Linked DNA regions of Caenorhabditis elegans. The protein of the gene in region 1 interacts with the protein of each later gene in a pairwise test. Each region holds a gene or a part of one and is shown in the gene's direction. Other genes may lie near its edges.

Region 1 (5,745 bases):
ACGTGGCCGTGGAAGCAGAAAACTCGGCCACAATCATAGAATGGAAACATTTTCTTATATTTTATTCGTACGTAGGTAGACAGGCATGAAGCAGACAGATAACAAACAAGCCGGCAAGGTCCAAAATAGGCGTATAGGCACGTAGGTAGGCATGAAAGGAATGTAGGCAAGTAAGTACGCATACAGGTAGGCATGCGGTGGGCAAGTAGGTAGGTAGGTAGGATAGGTACTTAGGTTGGCATGATCTAGGCAAGTCAGGCGAGAAGCATATAGTAGGCGAATAGTTAGGCAGGTATGAAGTAGGCGTGTAGAAACATATATAGGCATAAGGTTTGAGTGTAGGCAGGCAGGCATGACGTAGGCGTCGAACTGTTTCCGTTTACCTATGCTCATTCCAAATGACAAGTGAGATCTCCCAGCTTCATAGAAATTCAGATCATTCCATCAGTAGTATAATCCCCATTGACTCGTTTATTATAAAAACTCAGAGACCACTAATAAATAAGATGCAAATCTCATTTTAAAATGCTCTTTTTCATTCCGTTTTTTTTCTTTTGATTCGAAGGGAAATATAATTATGGAAATGGCCGAGAAATGTATATAGTGTTGTAAAGGAGCAACTTTGTCTTAAATATAGAATTTACAATTAATATTAATTTCGGTGGCCTGAGACAAAATGTGATTATGAAAATGTTGAGCTTTCAATTCTATTAGCGCTGCACACGTTTCCATTTTTAGAACTCATTAAAAATCTCAAAAGCATTGAGAAGAGATAGAGAAAAAAGAAAACATCATCATCATCATCAACACATCCTGTAGAGTGCTTTTAAAAGGAAAGAAGAGAGGAAGAAAAATGTGAAAAAGAAGCGTCGAGAGCAACTTGTTGAGTGAGTGAGGGGGGCACAGAAGGATCACATCCAATTAGGATTGAATGAATGCTGTCGTACACACAAGAAAGTGGAATGGAACGATGAGTAGAATAAAAAAAGAAAAATGATGGAAAGGGATGCACTTGGGACACATTGCCGAAAAAAAAACGAATCGTTGCTATAATGTTCTTCCGCTAGTCTTCATAGATCCCGTTGCCAGGTGACCTCGTCTCCAAAAACTTTCTTAAATTTCGAAATCGGAGAATGTGTACTCCACGAGAAGAAGAGTGTGCGAAAATTGCAAATTTTGCAACCTCCGCACGGTTATGAGAATGAGAGCTCAATGAACCTTGCGGAGGTTGCAAAATCTGCAAGTTCCGCACGGTTATGTGGGTGTGGCCAATACCATCGTTTTCTATTCTCAATTTCTGTTATTACGTGGTAGTCTAAAGATGAAAGTTTTCGGGTCTCACCACGCTGAAATTGGGTTACTGTAACTGGACCAATATTGTGCCATTTTTAATATTATATTCAAATTCTTGACAGCAATTTTCGATTAAATCTGAAAATTATGATACTATGCTACCCGTAAATGGAGACGAGTTACAGTAACTCGGCGTGGCGAGACCTAAGATTTTACGAAATTTTCCCAATTTTGACGTCTACGTAATAATTCCCTCTATCCCAAAATTTGTTTTGTAACAGTACGGAAATTGTAATTTCCGTACGGTTTTATGGGAATCACAGTTTGAAAGTTTCAGTTCAAAAATCAAAATCTCATCTTCTAAGAGGCGGGGCGAAAACACCAAATTTGACGCGCAAGTTTGACTACATCATCAGGTCGCCACTTCTGCTCCAGTCAGAACCAACCACATTTTCTGAAAATAAATTACATCCGGTTCGGTCCGAAAACTAATATTAAATACAATTTTCATTCAATTCATCATCTTTTGGTTTTTTTTCTTTCTCATTTTGACCAACCCGCAAATATTATACGACACAGGGGGCTATATAGTCGTGCGCGACGAAACATTTTTCTTTCCCAAAAAAGGAATGAATTCTCATTTTATTTGATGAAGAGGCGGGAAGAAGCTCTCCGAACGTTGTGCTCTGTGTGGTCAACAAAAAAAGGTCGACGACACAGAAAAGGAATTTAATTAAATGGGGGACCCCGTCGTCGTGCATTTCTCAATTTTCTCCGTTTTTTTTTGCAATTAAAACGAGGAGGAGTGAGAAGAAACGAGTGGTGCTCGTTGAAATTTGAAAACGAAAATTAGACGAGGGAGTAGGTCAAAGGGAAATAAAAACAAAAACATCTGAAATGTGTAATTAAATTTCTAGAATTTTTTAGAATTCAATATTTTATGGATAGGTATGTACTATAGGGGTCGGCGGTATTATACAGTAACCCATACACGAATTTCACTTTTTTCAGTGTCTAGTGTTGAAGAAAAAAAATCAAAGTTCAAACAGAAAATCGACTTCATCAAAATTACAAAACATCCGATCAGAGAAAAAAAATTTTCTCTTTATTTCCCGCAGAAAACCTCCCAGCAAACTTTCACCACAAAAACCCTATTTTAAACTCCCTCCATTTTCAAGTCCGCAATTGCGCGTAGCTTTGCGTGTTTTGTCGTTGCGGACTTTGATTTTTCAAACAAAAATGTTTTTTCTTGGAACTTTTCGAACCTGTTTTCCACTTTAAAAAAGCGGTATTTTTCAATTCTTTCTTTATTTTAAATTTGAAAAACTTGTTTATTGCTTAAATTTTTAATTAAAAAGCATTTTATTTCGAAATTCAGGCCATGTTCTCGCATCTTAACCAAAATACATCCGGAAGGCATAACTCAATGGATCTCAACAATTCTAGTATTTCAAAGTGAGTAATTTGTTTCTTATTTTGCAAAAAAAAAACCAGTTTTTAATACTAAAAATCTAATTTTAGCTTCGGGACACCAGTTGAACAGTCTACGCCGGCACTTCTTTTCGGAAAGCGAAAGGCAACTGTTCCATCTTCGTGTAAGTAAAGTTTATCTTAAGTTTTCTCAAAAATATGATAATTATTTAGACACCGCTAGCCCGCTCAACACTGCATCGGCACCATGTTCGGATATTTTCGCTGTTTCTGCACCGGCAGTGCCGCAGCATTTGAAGGATACACCGGGCTCTAAATCAGTTCATTGGTCTCCATCTTTGGTGCAATCTGGTGAAAAGTCGGCGGCACAAACACAGAATACACCTGCCAACTTGTCTTTCGGAGGAAATTCATCATTTTCGGCGCCGACAAAGCCAGCTCCTCAGTCGATTCAGACATCATCTTTCGGTGGTCAAGCGATGCATGGTTAGAATTTACATTTTTTCGCGAATATTTAAAATAAAATTGATTTTCAGCACCACCTCTTCGATCTCTTCGCGACAAAGTTGAACCAGCGAAAAAGATCTCCAGACGAAATACATTCACTGCCAGATCAACACCACTTTCCACTCCAATCACTCAACGAGTCACATCCAGGTTGGCTGAAGCAGAAGAACAACCAATGGAAGAAGAAGCCGACGCAGCTGATACCTGGGTCACTGTTTTTGGATTTCAGCCAAGCCAAGTGTCGATTTTGTTGAATTTATTCTCGCGGCACGGGGAAGTAGTTAGTCATCAGACTCCATCAAAAGGAAACTTCATACATATGCGCTATTCGTGTGTCACACACGCTCAACAAGCTATTTCTCGAAACGGAACTCTCCTCGATCAGGATACATTTATTGGAGTCGTTCAGTGCACAAATAAGGTAAGTAAAAAGGATATATTTATTTTTTATTTTAATTTTAAAATTTACAGGACGTGATCAACGGCTCAGCATCCGGAATTGTTGCTCGATCATCTAACATTGCTGCAGCTGCAAACCGATCTGCTTCCATGTATAACTCATTTGTGGAGAACGATATGGCCGATCAATCAGTTAATCACAATGAGAACAGTGTGCTCAACTCGTCGAATGTTTTTGATGCAAATAACTCGCTCAAGTATGATTAGAAATTTTTAGTAAAAAATTCATAAAAATCTAAATTTTATACTTGAATCTGCTAAAGCGAAGTTTGTAGTTTGTAGTCTAGCGCTACTCCACTTTGAAAATGTGAAAAAGAAAAAGTTAATTTTTCACAATTCAATTAATATTTCCACAAAAAATTGTTTATGTTTTCAGTTCTTCTCGTATTTCCGTCCGTTCTGGTGTCGGAATGAGACCATTGGCTGCCGATCAAAGAACAAACGTAAGCATTTCATTGATTCAATCCTTCTAACCAATTAAAAAAGATTTTACAGGGAACCCCATCGGTTCGCAAGGCACCTGACGGATTGCTCAACAAGTTCTGGAACACGATCGGACTCAACTAATCTTTTTGCTCATTGGAAATATCGCCCATTTTTCTGTTTTATTTCACCATTTTTTTCTTTTGTTGTGTATCCTTCTTTTTCGAATTTCTGAAAACAGTTTCGTTTCTCACGGTTTTTCGTTCTCAAAATAATTTTATTTATTTCGGTGTATTCTCAATTTTCGGACATTTTTCCTTCCCTTCTTCCCGTCCATTCCATTCCCATTCAAAACTGATTCTATGAATTGAAATGAAGAAAACTCATATTTTTATATTGTCGATTATAGAAGACGAGTTGCTAATACTCGAAAAAAATATTTTTTCAAAAAATGAGGCTTTATTGACTGAAAAACATCGATTAAACAAATTCACTTCTATGAGTTTAAAGAAGGGCGCATTATTGCAGAATGGTCTCGGCACGAATGACATTGAAAATTGTGTGTGGGTGTGTGCCTTTAAAAATACTGTAGAGATTCTTTTATCGATTTTTCTCATTTTCTTCAATTTTTAATTTCAGAAAATTATTTACAATCGATGAAGTTTTTTTTAAATTTAATTTTTTTTATAAAATTTAATTTTAAAAAACCCGTTAAAAAAAAATTATTCAAATAATTCTTTCAGTTCCCAATGAATCTTCCCCCAGACGCCCTCCACGAAAATGTGTACGCATTTGCTCTTGCACGAGATCAAGTCGAATCATATTGTAATCAATGCCTTACGAGTATGGCAGAACTCAAAAAGTGCAGCGCCTGCCGACGGCTTGCTTATTGCTCACAAGAATGTCAAAGAGCTGACTGGAAGCTGCATAAAGTGGAGTGTAAAGCTATTAAAGTAGGAGATTTCATGGTTATATTACAATTTATTTCTAATATTTTCATATTTCAGACTCATAATGAAGTTGCGAACGACTCGATTCGACTCGTAATGAGAATTGCCGGAAAGTTGAGCAGAAACGAAGATGGAGAAATAGAAGCCTACTATATTCCGGGTGTTGCTCGCAATTTTCAAAATCTCGAGCATCATCCATCATCATATGACGCCGATGAAGAGTCTTTTGTAAAAGAATACTTTCAATTTGCGATAGCTCCCCATCCAGATCGAGATTTGATCAAATTGATATTCCAAAAAGTTTCGATAAATAGTTTTGTAGTTGGAAACTCCACGGGAAATCCAATCGGTGTTGGATTGTGCATTAAGCTGAGCGCAGCTAATCATTCCTGCAAACCATTGACTCGAGTTTGTTATAGGTAAATGCCATGAAATTTTTAGATTTTTAGGTTTTTGCCGACCGGCGCCGGTCTCGCCACGACAAGTTTCGGTTAAATTCAATTTTTCGTAGTTTCTAGGTATAAAATATAGTTATTTAATGTTTTTTAAACTTTTATAAAACGATAAAAAAACATAACAAATCGTGAGAGAAACTATGAAAATCCAATTTTACAGAAATCGTACCGCAATGCTGGTTCCAGTTTCAAGTGAACTTCCTTCAACACTGGAAGGTGCTTGTCAT
Region 2 (6,095 bases), on another chromosome or scaffold:
GGTTCGCAGGTTTATGGGCCACCGGCTTGGCTGCTCCATTTTGTGCTTGCTTCTTCTTGTTCGTGTGCACGGCACCGCTCTCAAATTGAGCCATAATCTTTTCCGCCTGTAAAGAATAATTTTATTAATTAAAAATTCAAAAACAAAAAATCACTCACGCTAGCCAAATTATCTTCTTTCAGCTTCATCTTCTGTGCTTTTCCCAGCTTCTCCGTTGGCTGCTTCGGCTTTGGTTTCGCCGCCAGCTTCATTGGACGTTTTTTCAGCTTCATTACTGACAATGAATAATCTTAAATTGTTTAAAAATACAGTTTAATAAATATAGCACATTGACATAAAATAAATACTTAGAGAAAGTTAACTTGTTATGAAATTTTTGAAGCAGAAAACAAAATTTTGTTACAACTTTATACAAAAATATTTAAAAAATCGGGTGGAAAACATAATTTAGGCAAATATGAATTAAGAAACTCGTATATGGGACGTCTTTAAGAAGCGAGATTAACGAATGAAATCATATTGAAAGGATACATATCGAACGATCAATGAGAAGTGAAGAACTCCTTGGCAAATTGTTCAGAAGCAATGGTCACGTTGAAAACTGGATTAATTTCAGCAAGCATGTTAACATCACCACCAAGTATTTTCCCATCGCGAGCGAGAGAGTACTTCTGAGCAACTGATAATCCTGAGAGAACGTAGCATGTATGGTACAGGTCGACGGCTGAAAATTGAAGTCATTTTTAGTTATAAAAACTGGATCTTACGCTTGTCCGGCTTATCCTTGAATCCTCCATGTACTGATTGGCATCCAACAAGAATGTACTCTTCAAGCATTCGCGCCTCGAAAAGACCTTTCTCCAATGATCGGCCTTCTCGTTCCATTTCTCCGTCCAAAAGTGGGAAGATGGCACCTTGCCAGAAGCTGTAGCATCCATCAACAAGTTTATTTGTTCTTCCCTGGAAACCACCCTCAAATCGCATCTGCCGGCGCGTGGCCCAACGAAGGAGACCTTCCATATCAGCAAGACGGAATCTGGAAATCATCAGGATCAATGATCTTATTTCAAATTCTGAACTAACTTAATTGATATGATTTTATAAGAAAGAACATGTGGTGTTCACGTGATGGTCTGTCTCTTCTCATTTTCAAAGATAACAATAACTGACCTGTTTAACAGAACCAACGAGGCGACCGCGCAGAAAGTGTATCCTCCGTGTGCCTCTGTATACGGTTCTCCTCCGAAACCACCTTCAAAGCTCTGGCAGCTGATAATCCATTCGGCCACACCATTTGATATCTCATCCATAGGTAGGCCCACAATCTCGCATGTTGCTAGTGCACAGTAGGCGCTTCTCATATCGATCTGGAAATGTTCAATTTTCGATAGCTCAGAATTTTTATGATATCTCTGGCAAAAAAAACAACACTAGAGGCAATTCGTAGAGTGTGCAGCAAGGATCCTAAAGTTCTATGCAAGAGTACGTAGAAGTTTCACTCTGAGTAGGACTTCATCAAGTCTATGCAGGAGTTTCAGTACATTTAGAGCTTTTGAACCATTGCCAGAGATATTCATTAATAAATTATTACCTCTCCTCCCTCGTGCATATAAAATCCTCCGCTCTCATGCTTGCACTTCTTCAAAAAATTGAACAGTGTGACTCTGTTGATAGATCGTAGAGCTTCTTCTTTTTGTAGAGACACTAGGCACATGACAGCGGCATACGTTGGAGCCAAATGAGCCAATTGTCCTGGTCCTCCACCATAGCCACCTTCTGGATGTTCACAAGATTTAAGAAAAACAATAATGTTTTCGATAACATCGTTTGGAATTTCTGCGTCCAAAATTTTAAGTGCATTAACTCCCCAGTAGCACATCCATGAACGACTAGCGTCTAAGGTCTAAAAATTGTAATGTTAAAAACCACTTCTCACAAATCAAACTTACTGCGTAGCTCGACGGGCAGTTTTTGAGATATCTGAGCAAATACGAGGCATGTTTCTGACGGAAAATCGTCAATTCGGCGAGATCTTCGTCGCTTGTGGTCTTGAATGGTTCTAACACCAGTGAATTGTAGTTTTCGAAAAGCATTGTTTCAATACGTTTCTGAAATACTCATAATCGTACATGATAATTACATGGCGGGGTTACAAACCTGTTCAGTGCTTGAGTAGGTGAAATTATCATCGTCGTTACACTCATATTTCTCGTTGAACGAACGGAATGGGATCGAAGATGTCATCTCTGTTATAAAATACAATTTTTACAAAAAGAACACATTAGAAAACACACTTCTCTTGGGAAAACCTATCAAAAACATTTTTTTTCGTCGCGAAAATAAAAAAAAATCGGTGTGATAAACAAGGCGCGCGTGTTTAAAACGGAGTGTCGTTGTCCCCGTCTAATTTTTTCTTTTCTCATTTTTCTGAACACTCTTTTCTGATCAGGAATTCTGACGTTTTATCAGTCTGTGATAAAGTTTTTAATCAGTTATTGCAACAAAAACTCTACGAAAATCAGGCGAGTATGCAGAAAGATGATAAAGTTTTCTTGTAAATTAGCTTTTCATTCCATTTAAAATTTAATAACTTTACAATTTTATATTCTTTATTGTTGTTTGCAAATGTGTATTAAATATCTTATTTCTACGTTTTCTTACAAGTATAATTTTGTTTAAACTGAAAAATATTCAGGTAATGTCGAAGTTCCCGGTGCCGTTGAGAACGATTGGTGGGCTTCGTCCCTCGACAACAGCAGCTATTTCTGCCGCCAACATCGGTTTCACACAATCGAGTCGGGCCCTCAGCACCGGAGCTGCCGCCAAAAGCTCAGGACTTGTTGGACAAGTAGCTCGCCAATATCCAAATGCTGCAGCTTTCAGTATTAAACAAGTTCGCCTTTATAGCAGTGGTGAGACTTTTTTCCTATTTATATTTTCCAACTGGTTGTCCACTAATTCCTTTTTTCAGGAAATCTGCCAAAGCACAATCGGGTAGCTCTCCCAGCACTTTCTCCAACTATGGAACTCGGAACTGTTGTAAGCTGGCAGAAAAAAGAAGGAGATCAACTTAGTGAAGGAGATTTGCTCTGCGAGATTGAAACCGATAAGGCCACTATGGGATTCGAAACTCCGGAAGAAGGATATCTTGCCAAGATTCTCATCCAGGAAGGATCGAAGGATGTTCCAATTGGCAAGCTTCTCTGTATTATCGTCGACAACGAGGCTGACGTTGCTGCCTTCAAGGATTTCAAGGACGATGGTGCTTCATCTGGTGGATCCGCTCCAGCAGCCGAGAAAGCTCCAGAGCCAGCAAAACCAGCCGCTTCATCGCAACCATCTCCCCCAGCACAAATGTATCAAGCACCATCAGTTCCAAAGTCCGCACCAATTCCACACTCATCATCGGGAAGAGTTTCTGCTTCACCGTTCGCTAAGAAACTTGCTGCTGAAAATGGCCTTGACTTGAGCGGAGTTTCTGGAAGTGGACCAGGAGGACGTATTCTCGCTTCGGATCTTTCCCAGGCTCCAGCAAAGGGCGCTACTTCAACCACAACTCAAGCCGTATCTGGTCAAGATTATACCGATATTCCACTTTCGAACATGCGTAAGACAATTGCTAAGAGACTCACCGAAAGCAAATCAACGATTCCACATTATTATTTGACCAGCGAAATTCAATTGGATACACTTCTTCAGTGAGTTTTCTTAAATTATTAAAACAATAAACCCGAGTCTTCCTTTCCAAAAATTACCCTTATTCAGGGTTCGTGAAAAGCTCAACGGTCTTCTTGCAAAGGGAACATCGGGACAAGCCACTAAGATCTCAATCAATGACTTTATCATCAAAGCTTCTGCTCTTGCATGTCAACGAGTTCCAGAAGCCAACAGCTATTGGATGGACTCGTTCATTCGTGAGAATCATCACGTCGATGTTTCTGTAGCTGTCAGCACCCCAGCCGGTCTTATTACTCCAATTATCTTCAATGCTCACGCTAAGGGACTCGCCACGATTGCCTCAGAAATTGTAGAATTGGCGCAAAGAGCACGCGAAGGAAAATTGCAGCCTCATGAGTTCCAAGGAGGTACTTTCACCGTCTCGAACCTCGGAATGTTCGGATCTGTATCTGATTTCACCGCGATCATCAACCCACCACAATCATGCATTTTGGCTATCGGAGGAGCATCTGATAAGCTGGTCCCAGACGAGGCTGAAGGGTAAGAGTTTTTAGGAAATTTATCGAGTTATATAGTTTTTGTATTTCAGATATAAGAAGATTAAGACTATGAAGGTAACATTGTCATGCGATCACAGGACTGTTGATGGAGCTGTTGGAGCCGTCTGGCTTCGTCACTTCAAGGAGTTCCTCGAGAAGCCACACACGATGCTTCTCTAAACGATGGCTTTTTCATTGTTTCCCAATTCATCTCACCATCTTCCTCTACCCATTTTGACCCCCGAATTTACTCCGTAAAGTCTCGAAGTGATAGCGTATAACTAGGTCATAATTTTATTATTTCTTTCTTTCTTCACTACAGCCATTTTCGCTTTTATTTTTCTCATTTTTCATGGCATGTTTCCCAGTTAATCGTTTAATTTCTCCGGTAGTATGTGTAAGTGAATTATTAGAAGAAGTTTCCTTTAAAAAATGATTTATTATTTTTGTCTGTCATACAGAAATTTCAGAAACTCGTAGTGTGTTTGGAAAAGCCTAGCGGATCTTTAGTAATAGTGAGCAAAATGTTGAGAGACCCTAGGAAACAATATGCTTCAAGAAACGAATTCAATGACGACGACACAGTCCGCATGTTCTTGCGCAGAACGCCGTTAAGTATTGCTGATGGGATGGTGAAGCACAGAACTGACGCCACTGACTGCATCTTCCTTGAGGATCACGATCAGCGCATTCTGAAGATTCAAAAAGATTCGACAATATCCTAGATCTAGAAACATACGTCCGCCACCGAAAGCCGGCTGTGGCTGCTGGAATACATTTTGCCGCTGAGCAGCAAAACTGTTACTCTGTCCACGTCTTCTTGAAATGAACACATTTTGACGATTAAATGGAGATTGTGGCTGTTGAGCAACAATTCGCTGTCGTGGACGCTGTAAAATTGCAATTATAATATAGATCAGAGAGTAAAAGAAAATATAAAATACCGCAGGAATTGGTCGGAATGTTTGTTGGAACGTTGGTCTGGAAAAAATCAATATTACCGACATTACAATATGTGAAAAACGAACTGTTGTGTGAATGTAGCTTGTGTTGTCGGTGCAGCAGTCACTTGAGCATCTCCAGAAGATCCACGTTGGAAGCCATCTGAACAAGGCAACTAGGACTAGAACACAGGAAAATGAACGCGCTACCACGGAAACCGAAAAACTCAGACATCACTCAACATGCTAAATCAATCAAAAACTGAGCTTTCAAAATATGTTCCAAGAATTCAAAAAACACATTCATTCAACTCAATAATAATATCGTAGCTTCGAAATTTTCTGAAACGCGTTCTCAAAGGGACACAGATTTGTTCCGATGGGTCTTACCACGAATACAAATACAACAGAAATTGAAAAAAAAAATACTGAGATAAATACTGAAACATTATACCTTGCCGTAAAGATAATGCACCAGCGGGTCTCGAAACTATCAAACCTTCGCAGCTACAGTAACCCAAGAATTTAGTTTTTTTTTGTTGCAAAATTTGGCGAGTTTTTCATGATTTTTCAAGAAATTTATAGTTTTAACATTTATAAAATTAATTGAAAATTTAAATACAGAAGGGAGAAAATAGTAAAACGCTTGCGGGTACGGTGGCTACGAAGTTTCGATCGTGTCGAGAGAGGCCCCACGAAAAGGGGAGCAGAACGAAAAGGGGATCTGCAAAAAGGGGATCTGCGAAAAGGGGAGATACGAAAAGGGGAGATACGAAAAGGGGAGCAACGAAAAGGGGATCTGGCACTGTGCCAAACGCTATTTTTCTCGAAGAAAACGATACAACGATGCTCCGATGTTACGCGTCGCGTGTTGTTAAGCGTATCTTCTAGAAGAAAATTTCAAAAATCAACGTGCGTTGCGTGAGAAAAATTGCGT

What was found. Proteins that work in one complex are often made in the same cells at the same time.
Region 2: the proteins of npp-19 (region 1) and dlat-1 interact in a two-hybrid assay, tested with the Caenorhabditis elegans proteins (one large-scale study listed by BioGRID).

What each region holds. Positions count from the first base shown.
Region 1 is NC_003280.10:10,795,406-10,801,150, reverse strand, and holds npp-19 (Nucleoporin NUP35), read left to right. Parts: upstream 1-2,671; 5' UTR 2,672-2,674; coding exon 2,675-2,748; intron 2,749-2,814; coding exon 2,815-2,888; intron 2,889-2,937; coding exon 2,938-3,210; intron 3,211-3,260; coding exon 3,261-3,652; intron 3,653-3,702; coding exon 3,703-3,887; intron 3,888-4,066; coding exon 4,067-4,133; intron 4,134-4,176; coding exon 4,177-4,257; 3' UTR 4,258-4,498; downstream 4,499-5,745. Other genes in the region: set-14 (SET domain-containing protein 14), read left to right, coding at 4,863-5,066, 5,121-5,482, 5,679-5,745.
Region 2 is NC_003283.11:14,443,891-14,449,985, reverse strand, and holds dlat-1 (Dihydrolipoyllysine-residue acetyltransferase component of pyruvate dehydrogenase complex, mitochondrial), read left to right. Parts: upstream 1-2,695; 5' UTR 2,696-2,698; coding exon 2,699-2,912; intron 2,913-2,971; coding exon 2,972-3,698; intron 3,699-3,765; coding exon 3,766-4,218; intron 4,219-4,267; coding exon 4,268-4,397; 3' UTR 4,398-4,663; downstream 4,664-6,095. Other genes in the region: F23B12.7 (uncharacterized protein), read right to left, coding at 1-106, 159-272; fntb-1 (Protein farnesyltransferase subunit beta), read right to left, coding at 543-724, 768-1,036, 1,171-1,367, 1,592-1,903, 1,950-2,108, 2,158-2,244; F23B12.4 (ShKT domain-containing protein), read right to left, coding at 4,785-4,909, 4,957-5,107, 5,162-5,198, 5,246-5,321. UniProt on the Caenorhabditis elegans protein: The pyruvate dehydrogenase complex catalyzes the overall conversion of pyruvate to acetyl-CoA and CO(2).